3 linked regions of the Coturnix japonica genome follow. The main gene of each other region encodes a partner of the protein of the gene in region 2 in a complex. Links are inferred from orthologs where the notes say so. Each region holds a gene or a part of one and is shown on either strand. Other genes may lie near its edges.

Region 1 (4,149 bases), on a different chromosome or scaffold from region 2:
AATGAACCACATGCCCATTGTGCCAAGACTGGTGTGCGGATTTGGGTTGAAGAAGCATCTGTCCTAGAAGGAGCCGTGTCTGTACCACAAGGCTTTTTCCTGAAGAGGCTTTTCAGCAAAGCTCCACCTGCATGGGGACATGACTTACACTGGCGAGAAATGCTTCTAGCATGAGTCAGAATCTGGAACTGCAGGGGGAGCAAGGTATATTGGAAAACATACATGAATATAACAAATATTTGGGGAGCAGGACCTAATCTCCATTAGTTGGCTTGCTGGGTGTGAGATGGGACTTTTCTTTGATGCTTGCAACTGTTACAGCTAGGCTGACACTGTATAACGACTGGATAAAGCCTTATGAACAACCAAGAACATGGCTTAATCTTCTTCTTAAAACGGTGTCAAGGAGGCTTTGTCTCCAAACAGAACATCTTTCTTCGTTGTGTTTTCTTCACTTCCTCCCCAGCTCACATGGTTAATGAGAAACTCTTCCTGAACTCACGTAGTGTTGATAATGCAACAAATCTGCTATGAAGAACTGCGAAAAGAAAGCATTGACCTGATGGTATTCCGGTATCTCTTTGTAGCATTCCGAAATGGTATTCCAGAACATCTCTTTGTACACTGCTTTTGTCCTGGAGAGCTACTTACTGGCAGAGGTGTATGTGTGTGTTTTTAGGAATGAATTTTCATGTGCCGCCTCTTGTGTTTGCTTTGCCAAATCATCTGCCCATGGTGCAACACTCTTTACACAAACCCCATCCTTGTATGTTGGCTCCTTTAGGCTGAACACATCACAGAGGTAATTTGGGCCAAGGGGGAATAGAGCCATCTTGGGCCACTGATAAGCTGTGCCAGTAAATGTGATTTTGAAAGGAATCCAGTTGTTGGCAGCTGATTTAGAAACGTCCTTGGAAGCCGCTGGCGTTGTACATGTCACACTGTGACAGGGTTACTGTAGAATTAGATGTTCAATTAGATGTAAACGTTTGGGGGGGGGGGGGTCTTTAAAAAAAGAGTGTAATTACAGGCCTCTGTAAAATCTAAGGATGCTGTAATAAGTAGCACATGTAAGTGAAGTTTTCTTACAAAACACAGATCTTTCTTTTCTCGGATTGCTACAAAGGTCTCTATTTCAAGGAGGTTTTCCTTTCAAGATGCACTAAAAACGAGCCCGATTCACTCAGCAGACGACAGCACGCAAAGTGCCGAGACTGTAAGTTCAAAACAAAACAAACCAACATATTATTATTAAAACAAACCAAGAACAAAACGCCAGTGCAACACCGCACCCTGGCGTTGCAAGCTCCTCAATGCAGCCCGGCGCACCCGATTTGCGTCACTTCCTATGAGGTATAGAGCAGGAGCCGGACGTGTCTCCATCGCTGTCGGTGGGGAGCGGGGAGCGGGGAGCGACGGCGCCATGGTGGAGGTGAGGGCGGTTCAGTTCTTGTGTTACTGAGTGTTGTTGGTAGGAGCACAGAAGATGCTGTGCAGTTCTCCTACGTAACAGTTCTTTTACTGGGTGTCATCACTGTCCAGAGATATCTATAGTTGTTCACCTCCTGTTGTGGAGGTATTGAGTTACCTATTGCTTTTATTGCGACAAGCAGACATTTGCTACTGTAATTCCTGTTTCTTTTTGCAGTTGCATGGAATTTCTAGTTCCCAAGCCCTATTATAGATGTTCTTTATTTGATATCTAGATTTTACAGGACCGTCCTGAGCTAAAAGTTTTGTGTGGGCCCTACTGAGTTAGGGGAGTATGAAGTGTGGCAGAATGGGGCAATGAGTGGGTAAGCAGAGTCCAGGGCAGGAAAGCAGAGCTTAGTGGAGGAAGCCCCAGCTTAATGGAGTGTGGAGGCTGGGCAGCTGAATGGTAACTAGAGCCCGAAGTTCTTAATGCTTCCACTCTGTGTTGCTCCTATTTGTGACATACAGAGCGAGCACAAAGAGGCTCATACTCTGATTATCACATCTCTAATTATTTATTTATTGTGCCTTGAGAGGAAGGTAGGAATTAAAACCTGAATTGCGCGGTCCTAAACAAATATTCTATATAAGCTAATAGCTTTAAGTTCTACTATTTTGGCCCTGACTGAGATATTAACAATTATTAGCTTTTAGTAATGTGTAATTTCAAAAGGACAAGAGGCTTTGTCTTATTTGATCCCAGGATTACTTCTTATAGTAAACATCACTGTTCTTACATAGGGTGACACTGTGCAGAAACTGATGTTCATTTTTATGGAGGTAGTGCAATAAAGGAATGTTTTCAGAATCAGGTACTTTATTGTTTAGGTATAAAAGCATCTAGAAAACATGGAAGATAAACGTATTCATGTATTTTTAGATGATAGTGCAAATTTTTTCTGGCTTGTCATTTCTGAGAAACTGGGTTTTACTTTGAGCAGGCATTGAATTAAAACAACTAATAGATATACTTGAATCTGTAGTTTCTAAGAGGAGCAGTGTTTGATGGGAATAGTGTTGTATCATATGCAAGTCTGAAATTGCTACTCAGTTTCTTTTTCAGATTTCAGTTTTTCATTTAAACGTGGCTAAATTTATTTAAATATGCTTTCCTTTATTTTAGGAAGTCCAGAAGCACTCTGTGCACACACTTGTGTTCAGATCTTTGAAGAGAACCCATGATATGTTTGTAGCTGATAATGCCAAACCTGTACCATTAGATGATGAAAGGTGAGTGCTGTGGCTGAGTTTTACTTTGTTAGCAATTGTTCTATAGAATCATAGAATCACCAAGGTTGGAAAAGACCTAAAAGATCATCTAGTCCAACCGTTCACATTACTATTAGCTCCCGCTAAGCCAACACAACATCCAGTCGTTCCTTGAACACCCGCAGGGTCGGTGTCTCCACCACCTCCCTGGGCAGCCCATTCCAGTGCCTGACCACCCTTTCTGAGAAGTAGTAGTTCCTAATGTCCAGCCTGAATATCCCCTGCCACAGTTTGAAACCATTCATCTAGTCCTATCACTAATGACAAGAAAGAAGAGGCCAACCCCCAGCTCACTACAACCTCCCTTCAGGAAGTTATAGAGAACAATCCTATCCAAATCAGGAGTTTGGGTGTTCAGTACAATTAGCAGTTAAGGGAACTGAAAAGCATGAAGATTGTAATGTTAGCTGTATGAAAGGTTTCCTGTTTTTTAAAATATTTCAAAACTTAGTAGCAGTTCAAAAATCAGGATTTAATCAGGATTATGCTCTGTTCTTCCAACAGCCACAAAGTAAAGATGGCAGTCAAGCTGCGTACTGAGTACGGCTCAGTATTGCACATGCCTACTCTTAAAGAAAACATGAGAGAGAAAGGAGGCCCAGCCACTGGGGATCCATATGGACATAAACAGTATTCCGGAAATGAAGGTTTGTTATTCCTAGTACCATGTTTGTTCTTTGTTTTCACAAGGAAACAGTAGGAGACTTAATTCATTAGTAAAACAAGCAAGTTTTAAGGTAATGCTAGTGTGTGCTATATTTGGGTATTAGAGAGCTAATAAGGGTTGAGGATGTTGTCAAATTGAGGATGCTTTGCACCACCTACTCTGTTGTACTGTTTTGTTTGAATGCGTTATTTTGTTGGTCTTTAGGAGAAGAACTGGAGTATGTGATAACTGGCACACATCCATATCCACCTGGGCCTGGTAAGTAAAATTCTGTGTTTAAATCAGGTATTTCAGAGTTAAACTGAGATTTTTTTTTTAATTATTTTTTTAATTTTTTAATTTAATTTTGTTTTTTTTTTTTTAAGGTGTGGCTCTGACAGCAGACACTAAGATCCAGAGGATGCCGAGTGAATCTGCAGCTCAGTCCTTAGCAGTATCTCTTCCTGCTTCTCAGTCCAGGTACTGCTTTATTACTTCATTAACATTTGCATAATCTACAAGAACTACAAGTCAAAACAAAGTACTTTGAATATTCAGCTTTATAAAATACCTGAAAACCTGATCTAATGGTTTGCAACCTTGCCCATGGCAGGGGGGTTGGAACTAGATGACCTTTAAGATCCCCTCCAACTTAAGCCATTCTGTGATATGATTTTAAGTTGGTCAGATATCATCTTGGTGTATGCAGTGTTCTTTCTTGGCTGTCATTAGAGGCAGTGGACAGAAGGGGGAGAATGGGG
Region 2 (2,884 bases):
TCTTCAAGAAGTTCCTTTACGAGCCGCTGCCGGTGGAATCCCACCTGGATCATTGCATGCACGACCACTTCAACGCCGAGATAGTCACCAAGACCATTGAAAACAAGCAGGACGCTGTGGATTACCTCACCTGGACCTTCCTGTACCGCAGGATGACGCAGAATCCCAACTACTACAACCTGCAGGGTGAGCAGGGGGGGCTGCATGGTTGGGGGGGGACAGCAGGAAAGCAGCTATTGTCCAGCATGGGGGATTCTGAGCACACTGCTGGTCCCACAGGTGTGTCCCATAGGCATCTCTCCGATCACCTCTCGGAGCTGGTGGAGCAAACCCTGAGCGACCTGGAGCAATCCAAGTGCATCAGCATCGAGGACGAGATGGACGTGGCTCCCCTGAACCTGGGGATGATCGCGGCTTATTACTACATCAACTACACCACCATCGGTGAGGGGGGCAGGGGAGGCAGTGCAGTGCTTGATGCTGCTCTGTGCTGTGTCTGGAGGCAGTGCAGTGCTTGCTGTGCTTGCAGTGCTTGCTGTGCTGTGTCTGGATGCAGGGGGTGAAGGGGGGAAAGCACCGTGTGCCTGCAGCTCCCCCATTCAGCACCAGGCTGCATGTTGTGTGCCTGAAGGCCTCTCTTACATCACCCAGCCAAATGCTGCTCTCTTCTTCCTCACCCCATTGACCTCCCTGTCCCCCCCAGAGCTCTTCAGCATGTCCCTCAACGCCAAAACCAAAGTGCGAGGGCTGATAGAAATCATCTCCAACGCTGCCGAGTATGAGAACATCCCCATCCGGCACCACGAGGACAACCTGCTGCGCCAGGTGATGCAGAACAAAACCTGCCTTTGTGTCCTGCCCTGCGAGGCTTCAGATCTAACCCCTCATTCATGTCCCCCCCCCACAGCTGGCCCAGAAGGTCCCCCACAAACTGACCAACCCCAAATTCAACGACCCCCACGTCAAGACCAACCTCCTGCTCCAGGCTCATCTATCGCGCATGCAGCTGAGCGCCGAGCTGCAGTCGGACACGGAGGAGATCCTCAGCAAGGTGCAGCAGGGCGGGCAGGGGGAGATGATGCTGCATCCCCCAGTGCTGCTTTCTAAGCCACCCCCATCTCTTGTATGCAGGCGATCCGGCTGATCCAGGCCTGTGTGGACGTCCTGTCCAGCAATGGGTGGCTGAGCCCAGCTCTGGCCGCTATGGAGCTGGCGCAGATGGTGACACAAGCCATGTGGTCCAAGGATTCCTACCTCAAACAGCTGCCTCACTTCACCTCTGAGCACATCAAGCGCTGCACCGACAAGGTAAAACCCAAACCAGAACCACGGCTCCGTGCTGGACAACTAGAGGTGGTGATATAGGCATGGAGACCCCATGGTAAGCATAGGGCTGAGTGCTGTGCTGCTGCTGCAGGGGGTGGAGAGCGTGTTCGACATCATGGAGATGGAGGACGAGGATCGGAACGCGCTGCTGCAGCTCTCGGATGCTCAGATCGCCGACGTCGCCCGCTTCTGCAACCGCTACCCCAACATCGAGCTGTCGTATGAGGTGGTGGAGAAGGAAAGCATCCGCAGGTGAGGGATTGAGGGGGTACATGGGATGGCAGCGTGCTGCAGCCATGCAGCGCTGCATTGGCACCCTGACATCCCTTCTGTCCATGCAGTGGTGGGCCCGTGGTGGTGCTGGTGCAGCTGGAGAGGGAGGAGGAGGTGACCGGCCCCGTCATCGCCCCCCTGTTCCCACAGGTGTGTGCCAGGACATGGGGGGGGTTTGGGGGCAGCCATCCCTATGGGCAACATCCCCAATGTTGTTTGTCTGCTCTTTGCCCTGCAGAAACGTGAGGAGGGTTGGTGGGTGGTGATCGGAGACTCCAAGTCCAACAGCCTCATCTCCATCAAGAGGCTGACGCTGCAGCAGAAGGCCAAGGTGAGCGGGGCTGTGTGGGGCTGCCCTGTGTTCGCCCCCCATCCCGACCCCACAGCCCTGACCCCATTTATTCCCCTCTCCAGGTGAAGCTGGATTTCGTGGCTCCGGCCACAGGGACCCACAACTACACGCTGTATTTCATGAGCGACGCCTACATGGGCTGCGACCAGGAGTATAAATTCAGTGTGGATGTGAAGGAGGCCGAGAGCGACAGTGAATCCGATTAGCAGCTGTGGGGCTGCACTGCCCCGCTCTGGTGAGGACCCCCGACCAAACCCTGATGCTCCTTATCTCCCTCTGTATCTTATTGCCTGTTTTTTATGGTGTTGTACAGTGTTTGATAGAACAGAGCTGCGTCTGAAGCAGCTGCAATAAATGCTGAGCCTTCCTCCCCCCCCTTCCCCCCATTTATTTGTTTGGGGCTGAAAGCTGAGAAGCATTTGGGGTCGTTTCCCCCCTAATAAAGCGCTCTGCTTTTCTGCCTTTAACTGTGAGGCTGAATTTCAACACCTCCCCCATGTTGCATAGTGCTTCTATGCCCTTATGTTGGCTGCTGCGAGTTAATTAGCAAAACTAATTAAGGCAAAGTGAGCTGTCAGCAGGGAGCTGGGCCATGCTGGGGTTTGGCAGCAGGAGAACAAGCTGGGAGCAGCACAGACACAGCAATGCAGCCCCGGGGCTGTGCTTTATGGGGGGGTACAGCCCTCACAAAACCTGTTCCCTCCCCCCATCACCCTCCAGCCCCAAAGGCAGCACCTCCACCCTCACCCATAAGAAGAGCCCGGAGGCTTTGAGTTGACAGCAGGGATTTATTGAGCAGCCAGCAGCAGGAGGCAGCGATCCCTTCTCTCTAAGCCCCCCCAGCTCCCAGCAGAGCTTTGGGACAGCCACAATTCACCTGGAGTCCAAATGGTGCAGGGGGGCAGGACACAGCTTGGTCACCCCCATCCCGTA
Region 3 (4,337 bases), on a different chromosome or scaffold from region 2:
ATGTTTACAACTAGAATAGACACGCAGTTGTTACCTTCCACGTCCTCCCATTCATCTTCACTTTCATCATCGTCATCATCATCATCAGTATTGTCTTCATCCATCTCTTTTTTAATAGGAGATTCTCTCTTCAACTTTACCTCCTTCTGAGGGGCCTTCACTGAGTCACTATTAAAATTACAAGAATGGTTTTAGCATCAGGAAGTGCATGGGTTTGTTCATTTAAAAATGGAAGGGAATGAAAACAAAAATGAGGAAATAAACAAAGCATCATCTCTGCATCAGTAACAACAGATGTAAAGGTTGTAAGTATTTGACAACTGAACCGTGTGTGTGCCTGTAAAGCGAGCAGTCTTTGCCATGAATAATTACAGGCTCGTTGAACAACAACGTTTCAGTGCAGACACAGGTCCTGGTTCTAACAGGTTGTTTGAATGAAGATGACTGAACCTAAAAACAATGACCCATCTTTCCTAACAGCTTGTATGAATGTCTTCATTGAATCATTTGTCTTTACTGAGACCTCATAATGCACTGGGATTGGAAGTGCTTGTGTTTCACTACGCTAACACCCAATGATTTGGTTGGCCAGTGAAATGAGACCAAGCAGCTTCATTCTTCTCATTAATACAATCCCCCTTGAAATCTCTACAGGAAGACCATATATCTCACAGCAATGTTTCTGTTCATGCTCGATGCCATAAAACCTCCCTAGTCTTGTGTAGAAATAAATGAAACGCTATCTTACAATTACGATATTGATTTGAAAAGGCTCAGATATTTGCTTCCCATGCAGACTGCCTTCCTCAGACAGATCCTGCCATCAGCCAGGCAGTACTTCTGTACAGCTGTGTGTCACAGACAAACTAAACTGGCCTGCCAGCTTAACGTAACCCCTTTATGTGAACATTGTAGGGCAATGGACCCTACACAACAACCACAACATCCAACCCACAACAACCACAACATCCAACCCACAACAACCACAACATCCAACCCACAGTGAGGTACAGAGCGCATCATGATGAACAACAGCTAAGCTTACCTGCACTTTTCCTCTTCGTGATCATCCCCTTTATTTTCAGGGTCTCTCTCATTTTCTTTCACTCGCCCTTTTACCCCTTTTTGTTTTGAAGGCTTCTCTGCTAACTTAGCAATTCCAGCATCACTGTCTTCCTCCTTCTTCCTAGCTGCAACTCCGGCTCTGCTCTTCTTTACACTGTGTTTTTCTTCAACAAAATCACCTACATCGAAAAGAAAGAAATTTTCTTCATGGATATAACCTCATCCCTATGGATACATAGCAATATCTCTGCAGGCTCCAGCAGAGCTGCACTGAACAACTCCAGCCCCGGCCCATCATGGGGGGCTGCTGAGCTCCATGCTGACTGCCTCCCTCCCTCAAAGCAGAGCAGCCCCAGAAGCCGAGCCTCCCACACTCACCCTCCTCACGTTCCTCCGCACCATCCCGCCGTACTCCCACCCCTCCAGGCCGCCTTTTGCCGGCAGACACCCGCTGAACCGACGCTTTGCGCTTCCTCGCCATAGCGGCGAGCATTACCCCGCCCCTTCAGAGCGGGGGGAAGAGGCCGGGCCATAAAGTATCACGAGAGAGAGCGAGAAGCGGTTTGAAAGATGGCGGACGAGGTGGATCAGGTGAATGGCTCTTTACTTTTCTTAGGGGGGAGCGGTGTTTCTGCGGCCACCCCGGCTGCCAAGTGAGGTGGTGAGGGCCTGAAGAGAGAGCTGGTGGGTTGGTGGCACATCCGTGTGCCTTCCCTTTGCCATATGCCGTGCTGCCGTGTTGGTTTGAGCCATGCAGCCTGTCTGCTTCTGTGTGGATACTGGGACTTGAGGGAGCGTTTCAGAATGCAAACTGAGGAGTGGAGGAGTTCGTATTCACTGCTCCTGCGTGAATAACTGCTTGTTTCGGTGTTGTTTTCAGCAACAGACAACGAATACCGTCGAGGAGCCCCTCGACCTCATCAGGCTCAGTCTGGATGAGAGGATCTATGTGAAGATGAGGAATGACAGAGAGCTCAGAGGCAGGCTGCATGTGAGTGCCAATTCCAAGCAGGCAGCAGGCTGTGCTGTTATGTGCAACTATTTGTTATGTTACTGTAATGTGCTCAACAGCAGCGCTTGGTTTGTGCAGTGTTCTGCCAGAGATTCAAAAGGTGCATTTTGTTTTTCCGTGTCTGTTGTCTTTTAAATGATTCCAAGTGATTCGTTCTCTTGATTTTTGCTTTTATTCCCATGTCTGTGGACTAAGTAATAATGCAGGCATCATCTCATAAAGGACTCTCGACTCTGTTAAGATGGAAATAAGTATATCAAGCAACTGTCTTGTAGAGCAAACCCAAGGACTGCTGGGATGTGTACTCAGCTGGGTTCTCTCCATACTTGATTTGTTCTTTGTTTTCTTTTGAGAGCGATGTCTCTTAGTGAGACAAACTTTTGTTTTCTGTTTGGTTGTGTTATCCTTCTGGAATGTGGTGCTGTGCTGAGGAAGGGAACCAGTTTCCCATGTGGTAACTGGGCCTCAAATACATTTGAGAACAAAAAGGTGAGGACAGATCTGTGATGCACTGGTATAATTCCTAAGTTCCCTTTGTAGGGTGTTTGGAACAAGTGCTTAATTAAAATTTATGTATTGTTGTTTGAGTTACAGCTCTCATAGCTATAGATAATCCAATCCCAGAAATCTGGGCTGATAGCAAATAATATTTAGTTGGATTAATGCTAACGACAAGAACAAGTGTGTCCACCTCTGAGAGTTTGTGCATGAGCTTCAGAAGGAGAGTTTCAGTGAGTATAAGAGCCTTCCTTATGCTGTGGAGTACTGATGTTGGCCTTTATAGTTGAAGTTACAGCTGATACATCATGTTCACACATGGAACATCTTGACCCAAATCAGGTTAAAATAATTTTGTTTGAGTGTCTTGCTAGAATTATGGATTTAATGAGCTTGTGCTTGAATTTTGGAAGAAGTAATGAACTTTGTTCCTACAGGCATATGATCAGCACTTAAATATGATTCTGGGCGATGTGGAAGAAACTGTAACAACAATAGAGATTGACGAAGAAACATACGAAGAGATTTATAAAGTAAGGACTTCAGTGTATTTACCTCCATAGAAAACTTCTTGCAATCTAGATTGTCATGTTGTCAAAATAATGTGTTGATAACTGCACCTTTTGGACTAGGATCTAGCAGGTGTTTTAGGCAAATTGTTATGAAAGCACAAAGGACATCCAGGTGCTTGTTGATTTTGATATCTTCAGCAGGACGCGAAGTTGCATGTTTGAGCTGATGTTTGTTGGTGTTTTTTTAGGATTGAATTTTGTCACATGCTTAGTAGATGTGTTCTGTATACTTCTCTTTTGTAAATGTAATCTTTTCTTTGCTTCTTCATAGTCTACCAAAAGGAATATTCCGATGCTCTTTGTCAGAGGTGACGGCGTTGTGCTTGTAGCTCCCCCGCTGAGGGTTGGCTGAAGCAACCAAGGATTGAACCTTCTTGGAAGGTTTCAGGCTCTTGGACGATTTGTTTTGATCATGTCTCAGAATTGCATACACTTTTTAATAGAACGTTTTTGCCTATTTTTTGTGGAAGAGGAATGAGTTTTTCTTGCAGAAAGTACCTGTCAGCTGAAGCAGTGTGAAAACCTCATTTTCCCCTGAATTAATGTAACTGCTGTAAATGAGCTGTGTGTGACATAAGTAAAAGCACCCTGTTTTTTCAATCTTGGGAATAGCAGTGTCTTTTTTTGTTTGTTTTAAATAAATTTGGTTTACCTTTCAGATTTGATGTGTTATGTTTTTGTTGAAAAGGTGATTTTAATGAACTTCTCTAGTGCTAATGCTGTATTAAGTTGTGATAATGTGGCTTTGCTTCCTGAGAAAGCAGTGACTTGTTTGGTGTTTTGATTTTTGTCCATACTGAAGTTTTCCAGATTGATGTTTTGGAGGAGGGCAACACTGTGTTGGTCTATGGTGTACTAATCTATGGTTTTATGTAAACATATCCTTGTAGGAGAGAAATTCTGTGTCCTGCTTAAAATGCATTGATAGAATAGAATTTTTACAGCTTTTTCAGATGCTTCTCTTGCAGCTTTGTTAGCAGAGCAAAGCTTAGCAATACCATCAGTAGGAAACAAATTTAGTAGCCTGATTTATGCATTCATTTGCCACCATTTGTAGCCATTTTCAGTTCTTGAACACATTAAATTCTGTAGAAAACCAAAGATGCTTCCTGGTTATCAGTGGGTGCACAAGAGCCTTGTACACTGCTTTTTTTAATACATAGTTTCTCAGGCCTTCCTGATTGCACTTT

Evidence for each region.
Region 1: SNRNP200 (region 2) and PLRG1 share a complex: the UniProt entries of both Homo sapiens proteins name them as parts of the minor spliceosome. The link is inferred for Coturnix japonica from reciprocal best matches to the Homo sapiens genes SNRNP200 and PLRG1.
Region 3: SNRNP200 (region 2) and LSM3 share a complex: the UniProt entries of both Homo sapiens proteins name them as parts of the U4/U6-U5 tri-snRNP complex. The link is inferred for Coturnix japonica from reciprocal best matches to the Homo sapiens genes SNRNP200 and LSM3.

What each region holds. Positions count from the first base shown.
Region 1 is NC_029519.1:18,056,540-18,060,688, reverse strand, and holds the start of PLRG1 (pleiotropic regulator 1), read left to right. Parts: upstream 1-1,319; 5' UTR 1,320-1,348; coding exon 1,349-1,432; intron 1,433-2,596; coding exon 2,597-2,703; intron 2,704-3,246; coding exon 3,247-3,389; intron 3,390-3,613; coding exon 3,614-3,667; intron 3,668-3,774; coding exon 3,775-3,868; intron 3,869-4,149. UniProt on the Homo sapiens protein: Involved in pre-mRNA splicing as component of the spliceosome. Component of the PRP19-CDC5L complex that forms an integral part of the spliceosome and is required for activating pre-mRNA splicing.
Region 2 is NC_029537.1:1,041,115-1,043,998, reverse strand, and holds the end of SNRNP200 (U5 small nuclear ribonucleoprotein 200 kDa helicase), read left to right. Parts: coding exon 1-186; intron 187-279; coding exon 280-444; intron 445-703; coding exon 704-825; intron 826-907; coding exon 908-1,051; intron 1,052-1,131; coding exon 1,132-1,308; intron 1,309-1,417; coding exon 1,418-1,578; intron 1,579-1,667; coding exon 1,668-1,749; intron 1,750-1,837; coding exon 1,838-1,930; intron 1,931-2,013; coding exon 2,014-2,157; 3' UTR 2,158-2,324; downstream 2,325-2,884. UniProt on the Homo sapiens protein: Catalyzes the ATP-dependent unwinding of U4/U6 RNA duplices, an essential step in the assembly of a catalytically active spliceosome. Plays a role in pre-mRNA splicing as a core component of precatalytic, catalytic and postcatalytic spliceosomal complexes.
Region 3 is NC_029527.1:8,367,096-8,371,432, forward strand, and holds LSM3 (U6 snRNA-associated Sm-like protein LSm3), read left to right. Parts: upstream 1-1,558; 5' UTR 1,559-1,635; coding exon 1,636-1,656; intron 1,657-1,945; coding exon 1,946-2,056; intron 2,057-3,012; coding exon 3,013-3,108; intron 3,109-3,418; coding exon 3,419-3,499; 3' UTR 3,500-3,807; downstream 3,808-4,337. Other genes in the region: XPC (DNA repair protein complementing XP-C cells), read right to left, coding at 35-168, 1,046-1,244, 1,444-1,558. UniProt on the Homo sapiens protein: Plays a role in pre-mRNA splicing as component of the U4/U6-U5 tri-snRNP complex that is involved in spliceosome assembly, and as component of the precatalytic spliceosome (spliceosome B complex).